Saccharomyces cerevisiae S288C: one gene and its partners. The protein of the gene in region 2 purifies or fractionates together with the protein of the main gene of each other region. This does not show direct contact. Each region holds a gene or a part of one and is shown on either strand. Other genes may lie near its edges.

Region 1 (4,449 bases), on a different chromosome or scaffold from region 2:
TCCATCTCAATTGAAGATGCTGAAGGAGAGTGAATTAAGTTTAATGAGCAGTGCAAGTAGTTCTGCCAGCTCTTCCAAAAAATCTTCGTCTAGGATATCCACCGGGACATTAAAGGACATGAGTAATCTGTCAACATATGAGGATTTGGCCCACCGAACGAATAAGCTTAAGTATGAAATCGGAGATGATTCTAGAGCACATTCTCAATCTACTTTGTCCGAGCAGGAACAAGTTCCCCTGGAAAACGATAAGGACAGTGGCGAGATGATGCTTGCAGACCCCGAAATGAAGCACAAGTTAGAATTGGCCAGAATTTACTCAAGAGATAAATCTCAATTTGTGAAAGAAGGAAATTTTAAAGTTGACGAAAATTTGATTATTAGCAAAATTTCACTTTCCCCAAGCACTGAATCCTTAGCAGATTCTAAAAGTTCTGGGAAAGGGCTTTCTCCACTTGAAGAGGAAAAGCTAATTGACGAAAACGCTACAGAAAACGGATTAGCGGGATCACCTAAAGACGAAGACGGAATCATAATGACTAACAAGCGAGGAAACCAACCTGTTAGTACTTTCCTACGCACCCCCGAAAAGAACATCGGTGCTCAAAAGCATGTTAAGAAGTTTTCGGACTTCGTAAGTCTGCAAAAAATGGGTGAAGGTGCATATGGTAAGGTCAACCTATGTATTCATAAGAAGAATAGGTATATTGTGGTGATTAAGATGATTTTTAAAGAAAGAATCCTTGTAGATACATGGGTTAGAGATAGGAAATTAGGCACTATACCTTCTGAGATCCAAATTATGGCCACGTTGAACAAAAAACCACATGAGAATATTTTACGGTTACTGGATTTTTTTGAAGACGACGATTACTATTATATCGAAACTCCCGTACATGGTGAAACAGGATGTATAGATCTTTTCGATCTAATTGAATTTAAAACCAACATGACCGAATTTGAAGCAAAATTGATATTCAAGCAGGTTGTAGCGGGAATAAAACATCTACACGACCAGGGTATTGTTCACAGAGATATCAAGGATGAGAATGTTATCGTAGATTCTAAAGGCTTTGTTAAGATTATTGATTTTGGATCTGCTGCGTATGTCAAAAGCGGACCATTTGATGTTTTTGTTGGGACAATAGATTATGCTGCCCCTGAAGTCTTAGGAGGAAACCCTTATGAGGGCCAACCACAGGATATTTGGGCTATTGGTATTCTATTGTATACGGTGGTCTTCAAAGAAAACCCCTTCTACAATATAGATGAAATATTAGAAGGCGACCTGAAATTCAATAATGCAGAGGAAGTTAGTGAAGATTGCATTGAGTTAATCAAGAGTATTTTGAACCGTTGCGTACCGAAGAGACCCACCATTGACGACATAAATAACGACAAATGGTTGGTTATTTGAAGGATTAATGATCATTCTAGGACATTAGTAATTGGAAAAGAAAATGCAAAAAAATATCCAGTAGAAACAATGCTTGGTATGTCGTTCTTCTTACTTTCTTCAGTAATGAGTTGGTAGTTTTCTCTATTTAAATATGAATAAATCAATATGTACTTTCTTTCTTTAATCAAAATGTTAATATGATAAAAATACAGCATCCAAAGCAGTTAATCAAGACTTAAATATAAAAAATTTACATATTTAGAAAACAAAGATAGGGTAAATATTGAAATTACATAGTAAACCATACCTTAAAAGCAGAAATACTGATACCACATGAACTATTGATCAATACTACTGCTATTCTCTTCCTAATGCAAAGAGCTTATTACCATTATTAAATCACTACAGACGATAATACCCGGAATGCCCTTTTTGCAGGGAAAGCGAAAAAGGTGAAAGAGTTAACAGGAGAAAGTGTTAGGGAACTAAGTTACGAAGGAAGGCAGATAGCAACAATACTAACGTGGAACTTATTTCGACGACTATAACAACTGGTATCTGATTATCGAAGAATAATTGAGTGGTCAGAAAGGAGCGAAATATGTCTGGAGCAAGATCAACAACGGCAGGTGCCGTGCCCTCGGCAGCAACAACATCAACAACATCAACAACGTCAAACTCTAAGGACTCAGACTCTAACGAGTCATTATATCCCTTGGCTCTGCTTATGGATGAGTTAAAACATGATGATATTGCTAATAGGGTAGAAGCCATGAAAAAACTAGATACCATCGCGTTGGCACTCGGTCCCGAAAGAACAAGAAACGAGTTGATTCCCTTTTTAACGGAAGTTGCACAAGATGATGAAGATGAGGTGTTTGCCGTTTTAGCCGAACAGTTAGGAAAATTTGTCCCCTACATTGGCGGTCCTCAATACGCCACAATCCTATTACCAGTTTTGGAAATTTTGGCATCTGCAGAAGAAACTTTGGTTAGAGAAAAGGCCGTAGATTCTCTGAATAACGTGGCCCAAGAACTTTCTCAAGAACAATTATTTAGTGACTTCGTCCCTTTAATTGAACATTTAGCTACTGCAGATTGGTTTTCTTCAAAAGTTTCTGCTTGTGGTCTTTTCAAGTCTGTTATTGTTAGAATCAAAGATGATTCATTGAGAAAGAATATCCTGGCTTTATACTTACAACTCGCTCAAGATGATACTCCAATGGTGAAAAGGGCCGTCGGTAAAAACCTGCCCATCTTGATCGATCTGTTGACTCAAAATTTGGGATTATCTACAGACGAAGATTGGGATTACATTTCTAACATTTTCCAGAAAATCATTAACGATAATCAAGATTCTGTCAAGTTTCTGGCAGTTGATTGTTTAATTTCCATCTTGAAATTTTTTAACGCTAAAGGTGATGAGTCTCACACTCAAGATTTATTGAACTCTGCTGTCAAATTAATTGGTGACGAAGCGTGGAGGGTACGTTACATGGCTGCCGATAGATTTTCAGATTTAGCCTCGCAATTCAGTTCCAACCAAGCATATATCGATGAATTAGTACAACCATTTTTGAACCTTTGTGAGGACAACGAGGGAGATGTTAGGGAAGCTGTGGCTAAACAAGTTTCTGGGTTTGCCAAGTTCCTAAATGATCCTTCAATTATATTGAATAAGATCTTACCTGCTGTGCAGAATTTGAGTATGGACGAAAGTGAAACAGTGAGATCTGCTTTGGCTTCTAAGATTACAAATATTGTATTACTGTTGAATAAAGATCAAGTCATTAACAATTTTCTTCCGATTTTACTGAATATGCTAAGAGATGAGTTCCCTGACGTTCGTTTAAATATCATTGCCAGCTTGAAGGTTGTCAATGACGTAATAGGAATTGAGCTGCTATCAGACTCTTTGTTACCTGCCATAACAGAATTAGCCAAGGACGTGAATTGGAGAGTTAGAATGGCTATAATTGAGTACATACCTATCTTGGCAGAACAATTAGGTATGCAATTTTTTGACCAACAGTTAAGCGATTTATGTCTTTCATGGTTGTGGGATACTGTTTATTCTATCAGAGAAGCCGCAGTGAATAATTTAAAAAGGTTAACGGAAATATTTGGCTCTGATTGGTGTCGTGATGAAATTATTTCAAGACTGCTCAAATTTGATCTACAATTACTGGAAAATTTTGTCTCGAGGTTCACAATACTCTCTGCTCTAACCACTTTGGTGCCCGTGGTATCGTTAGATGTCGTTACTGAGCAACTATTACCATTCATTTCTCACTTGGCTGATGACGGTGTTCCAAATATTAGGTTTAATGTGGCCAAATCCTACGCTGTGATAGTGAAGGTTTTAATTAAGGACGAGGCCAAATATGATGCATTAATTAAGAACACAATTTTACCCTCATTGCAAACGCTGTGTCAAGACGAAGATGTTGATGTAAAATACTTCGCTAAGAAAAGTTTGGCAGAATGTCAAGAACTTTTAAAAAATTGATACTAGTTCAAATATATACATACATACACATATGTACACTTGAATGAATAAAAAGTATACATATTAACAACTAGGCCTGCTTTCTTTTCTTTTCTTTTTTTTTTTTTTTACCACACTTAGTCCTCTACTTTAACAGAAATATCATTTTCCAGTTTGACCATAGTTTCTTCAACTGTTTTCTCCTCGTGTTTAACATTGATTTCCGCCTCCACGTTCAGTTCACGTTTTCCTTCCAGGTATTTCACCCACTTTGGATAACTCATGATATTTTGCTGGATTTCCTTGTACAATTGAGACTGCAAATCCCAATCTAAGGAGCTTCTGGGATCATCCGGTGGCAAGAATTGTAACATGTCACCAAGGTTCCTCGATTTAGTGATTATTTGTCCAAATCCAACCAGCAACCCATTTATTTCTGTCCAAAGCCCCTTAGGCAGCCAATTTTGTAATTGAGTTCTTGTCTGATCTGGAGTCTTGCATTTCTGCGCATCTACCCATTTCCAAAGCTTGGTCAATCTATCCACGTGAACGTCAACGCAGA
Region 2 (4,563 bases):
GCTCTTAAAATTGTTGGATCAGCTGTGCTAAGGGGAAGGCACTTTTTTGTATCATGATCCTATTTTTTTTGTTATTTAATTATTTATGACATACCTTTATACTTTAGTTTTCAAAAATCCAATAATAGATAGGCAAGGTTTACGGAAAAGAGTGGAGTGCAAAATAAATAGAGGAAAGGCAGAAGGAAGAAGGAAAGCGAAAAGAAAAACGAAGATATATTTGGAGAAAAGTATAGAAATAATAAAATGAAGACACATCGATTGAAGTATGCTCAAATGATGAGAAAAAGAGACCTTTATCTCAGGCCACAAACAACCATTGTCCAAGTGGCTTATCTTTGCTATAGTTTTGTTCGAATATTCGGGGATTCTATCTTTGGTTTCTTCAACAAGTTGACCCCATTTACCAGTTCTTTTTTGCTCTTCATATACTGCTGCTCTTTTGAAATGTGGCATGCCCTAAACTTCCTCACTTCTTCGAGCTTGTAATGAATTGCTGTTTCACTGTATCTCGCTGTCACAATCATTTTCGTTCTCTTCATTTAATGTGTTATTCTCACTTGCTGTGTTGAAACTGTTTCTTAATTCTGGGTTTTTGATTGTGTATTGGTCCTTATCATTGTTAATCCTTAGATTTTTTACATATTCTTCAAGTTTGCTCCAATTTTCTTCACGTTGCACCTTACGCTGTTGAGTTTCTTTTACACTTGATAAGTACAATGCATTACAGTTTTCGTACAATACTGGGTTTGTTTCCAGAAAAATTTTCAATGCCTTGAATGCCATAGCATGAATTGCCCTATTCCACGAACCAGAATTGATTGCTTGCTCAACAAGCATGTAAGGGTCTGAAATGCTATCTTCGCCATTTGCTGTATCTAGCTCTAACTGAGAAGTTAATTCATATAATGCAGGAAATATAATGGGTAGGATGACTTCGGCATTTTCGATACATAAGTTTAAGAAATATTCATTATTCCAATAACTTAAAACCTTTTCCGCCACTTGGAAATGTGGAGAAGAAATACACTTAGCTAATTGAACAAATAACGGAACTTCTACTTTAATAAATTCCAGCGGTTCGATCACTTCAAAAATATCCTCGATTTCATTTAGAAACATTATCTCTTTTGTGGAATTTATTTTTGGCCAATAACGCAGTAAGCCCATAACTACCTCTTCGGTTAATAAAGGATCTTTTTCGAGAAATTGAACGATACAGTAAGCCAACTGAGGGTGGTATAATGATAAACAACGGACCTTGTGTAATGGTATCAATATCCTCACCAAGAAAACCTTGTGCTCTTCCTTTAATGGAAGTGCAAATCCATTAATTATGGAACCCAAAATTTCTAACAATTCTGCCACACCGTTAAACTTCTCAGTCTCATAAATAAATTGCAAAAAAATATTATTCATCGACCGACGAATAAAGCTTCTTAATGATAAGAACTTCCCATATATTCTATGCAGTGTCGTTTTCAAACAGTCTCTTTCTCTGATATCTTCGCTATCAAATAATTCCAGTAACTTTAAAATAAAGTCCTGATCAATATATTGTTTAGCAATCTGATGATTGAAATCAGGACTTTCCACAAACCTTAAAAAGAATTCGTAAACAGCTTGCATATGAGGCCAGGCTAGTTCGTTAACAGGTTCATCTTCATCTGGGTCATAAATGTCACCAACTGGATTTACTGGTGGTGGAATAGGTCTAAACAGATTGATTTTGAACATGTTCACCACATGAGCGTACATCTCATTCGTGTAAGTGAACCTATTTGTTACAAGGAATTCTATTAGCTCATCTAAGGTGCTTCTTTTAATCTCTTTACCTTGAATGTCAAAACTTGGATCATTAAAGTCAAACATAGTGTTACACTGGTCAACTTTGGCAATGAACAAAGGGATTCTTTCTTCAGGAGAAACTTCATTAAAATTTGGCAATTTCGTTAATGGCGTATATCTAGATGGCTCGAATCTAGATGAAGAATGACGTTGGGGAGTCTTAATTAACTCTAAATCTGTGTCAGGGTTAAGTTTTGTGGGTGTTGGTAGTCTCTCAAATGAGTGTGATGATCTCGGAATGTCGATACTTTGTGAGGAGGCGTGGTTTGCATCCTGAGTATTACTAGTATTAATATTCATATTGTTATTATTACTATTACCATTTTCTACATCAGAAGAAACTGCTGTACCTGAAGCATTTGAAATGGGAGATGATGGAACAGCGGATACTGCCCCCAGCAAAGTAGGATGTGCATGATCTTCACCAGAAGTGCTTTTGTCGTCCTTAGTAACAGTGAGTACTGGAGTGGGGTTCATTATAGCGGCAGATGATGAAGAAGATCCTTGCTTTTGAGATTGTGATGGCTGTTGCGATTGTTTGGACTGTTCTTGTCCTTTTCTTGAACTTGTTTTCTTTGTGGAGCTTGAACCGGAGCGACTGACACTTGAACTTCTACTGCTACTGCTGCTGGAAGAAGGGGTCGTCGCTGTTTTTGTTTTTGATGTAGAGCTACTATGATGCTTCCCTTGCGAGGGAACACTACCAGATTGCTTGCCCTTCTCAGTTGTAGACTTTGATCCGGTACTGCTGGCAGAACTGTGAGTAGTCCCGTGGGAAGAGCTACTAGCCGAAGCGGGCTTCTTTGATGTGGATGAGGTAGTGGAACTTTTTTCTTTTTCCTTCTCTTTGTCCTTCTTTTTACTGCTTGAAGAAGAAGAAGACCCGGTGGTCTTCTTTATTAATCTTTGCTTGAAACCACGCATCATATTGAAAGTGGATGTTCGAAAATAGCACGTGCCTATTGATCTTAATAAGTAGAACTTTTATACAAAATAAAAAAGCCAGTTAAAGACGGTATTGAGGTGAACAGGTATATGGAGAAGGGTTTATATTTTTATCTAACAAAAAAAGGAAAAAAAAGCAAAATCGAGGGGGGAAGGAAATGAAACCCAAAATACTTACGGCGACGATGGTTTATCCTTGAAATGAAGAGTTTTCCAATGAAGAAACGAGACGTATTGACATGCCTACCAATTGAAGTGGAAAACAAAGCGTAGTTTCACATACTCTTTGATAATCAATTGTCTGATACTTTTTTTTTTCCTTTCTCGCAGCCGGGATAGGGGGTTGTGACCCGGCAAAAAATGTTGGTCTAAGTTTTATTGTTGCTATATGCTCCATACATACAATAAATGTCTATAAAATTTTTAGAAGAAAATCAGGCGTGAAAGATGGTGTCTGCATCTTTGTGGTAGAGCATCAAGTAGGCCGTGAATCCCTTCCCCTGCGGATCGGGTTCTCCTTTGGAGTTCACTTCTCCAACCCCGAACTGAAACACCAAATAGGTTTTGAAACCGAAATATTCGTACACAGATCTTGCGTGCTCCGAAATAGCCTCGAGAGCAAGGGCGCAATTGGCCTTGTCTGCTTTGGTTTTATATTTTTCGAGTATTTTTCTGACTGAACCTCTAATTTCGGGATGGCTAGGATCTTTTCCGATGGCATAAAGGTAGTAATAGTCCATTCCCAGAGGCATGACTTCGTGCTTCCTCACAGTCAAGTCGTGAAAAAAAAATCTTATTGAAAGACTCGTCGTCAGATAGTGTAGCAGGCAAGTGGCACCCAGGGCGGCTCCATATTGCGACTGCATCGAAATCATTTGCCTCAGCAATTTCACCATCCAAGTCATGGTAGCACGTCGTGTAGTAATGTATCATTGCATTTATTCTTGCCCTTGAAACTTTTTCAGTGATTGGGATATGGAAGAACTTTTTCATCAAGTAGTCATTTGCGTATGACTTTTCGAATGCCTTAAACAAAGTTTTCGAAGCCTTCTCTACATCGCTTGTCAAGTTTACCGCCAAAGAGGATTCTTCATTGATCGATGATGCTACCATTATCAAAACTATTGATTTGTTTTCAACGTTCTGATTAGTATTTTTGTCACTGCCTTTTTCTATTGTTTCTTTTTTTGCATTTCTTATAGTAACATAAAAAACACAGGAAAAAAAACGTCGTTTATTATATCAGGAGTAAAGGATTTCTGCCCAAAATGTCAGGAAAATTACGATATAAAACGTACTATAAGATAACAAGCGGCTGAATAATTTCTGAGGTCAGAACCATAAGGGTACTGAAATACTATGTGCTAGATTTTTTATTTATTTTCTTTTTCTGATTGATTATCGTTTGGTTAAAATCAGTATGATATTATATATGACTTGCTTTATAATATATCAAACCGACATAAAAAATTATCCTACTCAAAAAAGATCATGGTTGTCCCCGCGTTTCACTTCTGTTATACCATGCAAATTTTTATATCAAATGAGTAATTCTTTCATTTCTTTCGGGACCCTTTACGAAGTAGTTGTTATATCTCCACTGGCAAGGCCACGAACTGACAAAAAAGGCATGATATAAATTGTGAGAAATTGTGAGTTAATTTAATAATTATGCGACGAGATGATAGAAAGGTAAAGACGACTTTTTGAGCCGGATCTGTTTACGTCAGTAAATTCTCGCGCCCCAAGACGTTATGAGGCATAAAATTT
Region 3 (3,597 bases), on a different chromosome or scaffold from region 2:
CAGCAATGACGACCGGACCAGAGACAGAATAGATGGCACCATATTCAGATTCAGCATGGTCTTCTAATGAGATTCTTTTTATTTCCTTACGAGCGTTTTCAATTGCACCAGCCATTGTTTCTTTTCTTCTCTATTTGCTTTTTAACTCTAAGAATGAAAGAACGACTCCTGCGTTATAATCTTAGATATCTATATGCTTTGAGAAATGTGTTTGGTACTTTTTATTCTAATCAACGTAGTAATCAAAATGTTGCAACCTTATCGAAAGAGCCATTTCTTGTTTTCAGCTTTTAATCCAGTGTGAGACCCCTTTGAGCGGCCGTGGAAAAAGATGTGAAAAAAAAAAAAAAAAAAAAAAAAAAAAGAAAAAGGAAAAAGAAAAAGAACAATACAATAAGGTTATGCTAGGAATAAAAAGAACAATAGATAGGACTATAGAAGCAAAGTGGAGTCTAATCGTGGTGGCAAAAAAATATTCTCGCCCAATTGGAGTCTGTACAGCATTGAAATGCCGATGAAGAGTCTACATACTGCTGCTGTTGCCGCTGTTGTTGTTGCTGTTGTGTTTGCCGTACAGACATGGAGTGGTTCAAGTTTAAGGTATCTAGGTAGCTGACAGGAATAGGATTGGAATAAACATCTCGATAGATAGAGAGTTCTTCGCCGTCCCCAATTTCAATGACTTTTCTTTCTGCTGGGTTTTGTTTTGTTCGAGTAGGAGCTTCGTACGGGAAAAGCACCGGTGTTTGCACTTGATGTTCGCTGTTCCTGGTTGACATATCATTTGGGCTTAGGTGAAATGAGAAGAGATCTTCTTCGAAAAGCTGCAACTCTTGGTCATCTTGACTCGCACTGTGTTCGGTTCGTACACCTTCTTCCTCGTCACGAAAAAACATTTTGGAATTGCGTTTCCACCAATCGGTAAACGATTCTACAATGGAACGCACGGATTCATCTCTCTTTGTTGAACCAAATGGATCCGATCTTCTCGAGTTGAATTGTGCTGTGCTAAGCTGATATGGATGCGTGCCATTAATAGCTTCAATTGCGCCACGATGTGAAGATGCAGGTGGCCTCCATTTTACAAGTACGTCCTCCATTTTTCCCACAAATACATTTTCTTCTCTTCTTCTTCTGCTTTTTTGTTTCGAAATCACGAGTTGCCTCACAGAGGGGAACTCACTTCTTGGTAAGAATCTGTTTTGAGCCTCCGCTTCAGGGCTGTAGGATGGGAAAGTTATGTCGCCCCCATCTAAACCATCTTCTATACTTGTGTTACACTGCATATTTTTCTAATATTTCTTGGCTATCTGTAAGCAAATCTACATCCAGGAATAGAGTCCACAAGTATATTCCATATAAAAGCACAGAACTACGAAGTGTCGCAAATTAGTTGTTTTTTTGGGAACTTGAACCCATACACCGCACCAAATTATTACAATATTTTGTGACACAGGACAGAATATTAATAAAAGAAGCGAAACTCTATTCTCCTAAAACTTCTTCTTGCGGAATTATGTATCAATTAATGCTAAGATTAATCCAAAAGCTTATACGACAACAATAGTCGTTGTGCACTTTGAAATACAATCGTGTATTACCCTGACATGACCGGGTAATCTAGAAGAGGTTATTATTTTCTTTTCCGCTGAATTGTGGAAAAGAGTCGTGGAAAGTTTCAAAGGGACATCCCCATTTTATAAAACCAATTGAAGGGCTGTAACTAGAGCAAACTTCTTAAGGTACCAGCCCGCTGCAAAACAGTGTTCGAACAAGAACACGCAAACCCGTTTACTTCTTGTCCTACCTGCTCTCTTTCCTTTCCGGTTATTGTTCCTGTTACGTCTTTTTTTGAATTTTATATTATTGGCACTTCTGTATAACTGGCTTTCATTCGAAAAAAATGGATATGGAAATTGATGACCCTATGCATGGTTCAGATGAAGATCAATTATCACCGACTCTCGACGAAGACATGAATAGTGATGACGGCAAAAATAATACGAAGGCGCGTTCTAATGACGAAGACACAGATGAAGAGTTGGAAGATTTTAATTTTAAACCGGGGTCCTCGGGTATAGCAGATCATAAATCCTCCAAACCACTAAAACTGACCAATACAAATATAAATCAGCTTGACCAATGGATTGAGCATTTGAGTAAATGCGAGCCACTATCAGAAGACGATGTAGCACGACTATGTAAAATGGCGGTGGACGTGTTGCAGTTCGAGGAGAATGTTAAACCAATTAACGTGCCTGTTACCATTTGTGGTGACGTACACGGTCAATTCCATGACTTGTTAGAACTTTTCAAGATTGGTGGTCCTTGTCCTGACACCAATTACCTTTTCATGGGTGATTACGTGGATAGAGGATATTATTCTGTTGAGACCGTATCTTACCTAGTTGCCATGAAAGTCAGATATCCACATAGAATTACTATACTTAGGGGCAATCACGAGTCTAGGCAGATTACCCAAGTATATGGGTTTTATGACGAATGTTTGAGAAAGTACGGCAGTGCGAACGTGTGGAAAATGTTTACCGATCTATTCGATTATTTCCCCGTTACTGCCTTGGTGGATAATAAAATCTTCTGTTTGCATGGAGGTCTCTCACCCATGATAGAGACAATAGATCAAGTTAGAGATTTAAATAGAATACAGGAAGTGCCTCACGAAGGTCCAATGTGTGACCTTCTATGGTCCGATCCTGATGATAGAGGCGGATGGGGAATCAGTCCGAGAGGTGCAGGCTTCACTTTTGGTCAAGACATCAGTGAGCAATTCAATCACACTAATGACCTATCACTAATAGCAAGAGCTCACCAATTGGTAATGGAAGGATATTCTTGGTCTCACCAGCAAAATGTTGTCACCATTTTCAGTGCTCCAAATTATTGTTATAGATGTGGTAACCAGGCCGCTATTATGGAGGTGGATGAAAACCATAATAGGCAATTCTTACAATACGATCCATCTGTGAGACCCGGTGAACCAACCGTCACCAGGAAGACACCGGATTATTTCTTATAATATATATCTATTACACCTTTATCCTTACTACGCTATTTCATTCCAACATACATTTATTTTTTTTTTTTTTTTAATATATATTTAGTTACTTTTTCCCTCTAATTTTTGATAATAACAACTTATATACAAACATACAAACTATTTTTTCGTTTTCAAATACTTATTTTTTCGAACACAAAGTGAAAACAACTTTTTCTCATATATTACTGTTCTCATACTAGAATTTCTATAAACCGTTACGTAATTTTTTCGCTATGTATAGTTCACTCCTCACGCTAAATGTTTAATTTATCAAATTTCATCTCTACCGAATCAGTATCCCTAGATGACGGCGAACCCTCAACACTAGCCCTACGAATTCCCTCATTCTTATTACTGTTACTGTCATCACTACGTTTCGGAATCGCACCAGAATATGAATTTTTTCCTTGAAAATGGTGGTACTTATTTGCTGAGGATCTTGTGTAATTGTTAGAATTATAGCTTGGTGTATTGCTATATGGCCCGCTGTGATACTGAGTGTTATATTGGTATTGATATTGATATTGGTATGGGGGATA

Evidence for each region.
Region 1: the proteins of RTS1 (region 2) and TPD3 purify together in Saccharomyces cerevisiae (affinity purification with mass spectrometry; 6 studies listed by BioGRID, with this or other methods). This does not show direct contact.
Region 3: the proteins of RTS1 (region 2) and PPH22 purify together in Saccharomyces cerevisiae (affinity purification with mass spectrometry; 3 studies listed by BioGRID). This does not show direct contact.

Annotation. Positions count from the first base shown.
Region 1 is NC_001133.9:122,879-127,327, forward strand, and holds TPD3 (protein phosphatase 2A structural subunit TPD3), read left to right. Parts: upstream 1-2,000; coding exon 2,001-3,908; downstream 3,909-4,449. Other genes in the region: serine/threonine protein kinase PSK1, read left to right, coding at 1-1,417; bifunctional N-glycosylase/AP lyase NTG1, read right to left, coding at 4,025-4,449. UniProt on the Saccharomyces cerevisiae protein: Phosphatase 2A affects a variety of biological processes in the cell such as transcription, cell cycle progression and cellular morphogenesis, and provides an initial identification of critical substrates for this phosphatase.
Region 2 is NC_001147.6:355,886-360,448, reverse strand, and holds RTS1 (protein phosphatase 2A regulatory subunit RTS1), read right to left. Parts: upstream 2,776-4,563; coding exon 502-2,775; downstream 1-501. Other genes in the region: YOR015W (uncharacterized protein), read right to left, coding at 97-456; YOR012W (uncharacterized protein), read right to left, coding at 3,493-3,906. UniProt on the Saccharomyces cerevisiae protein: The B regulatory subunit might modulate substrate selectivity and catalytic activity, and might also direct the localization of the catalytic enzyme to a particular subcellular compartment. Multicopy suppressor of ROX3 and HSP60.
Region 3 is NC_001136.10:123,305-126,901, reverse strand, and holds PPH22 (phosphoprotein phosphatase 2A catalytic subunit PPH22), read left to right. Parts: upstream 1-1,903; coding exon 1,904-3,037; downstream 3,038-3,597. Other genes in the region: VMA1 (H(+)-transporting V1 sector ATPase subunit A), read right to left, coding at 1-115; YDL186W (uncharacterized protein), read right to left, coding at 453-1,286; RBS1 (Rbs1p), read right to left, coding at 3,313-3,597. UniProt on the Saccharomyces cerevisiae protein: Exact function not known, phosphatase 2A performs an essential cellular function.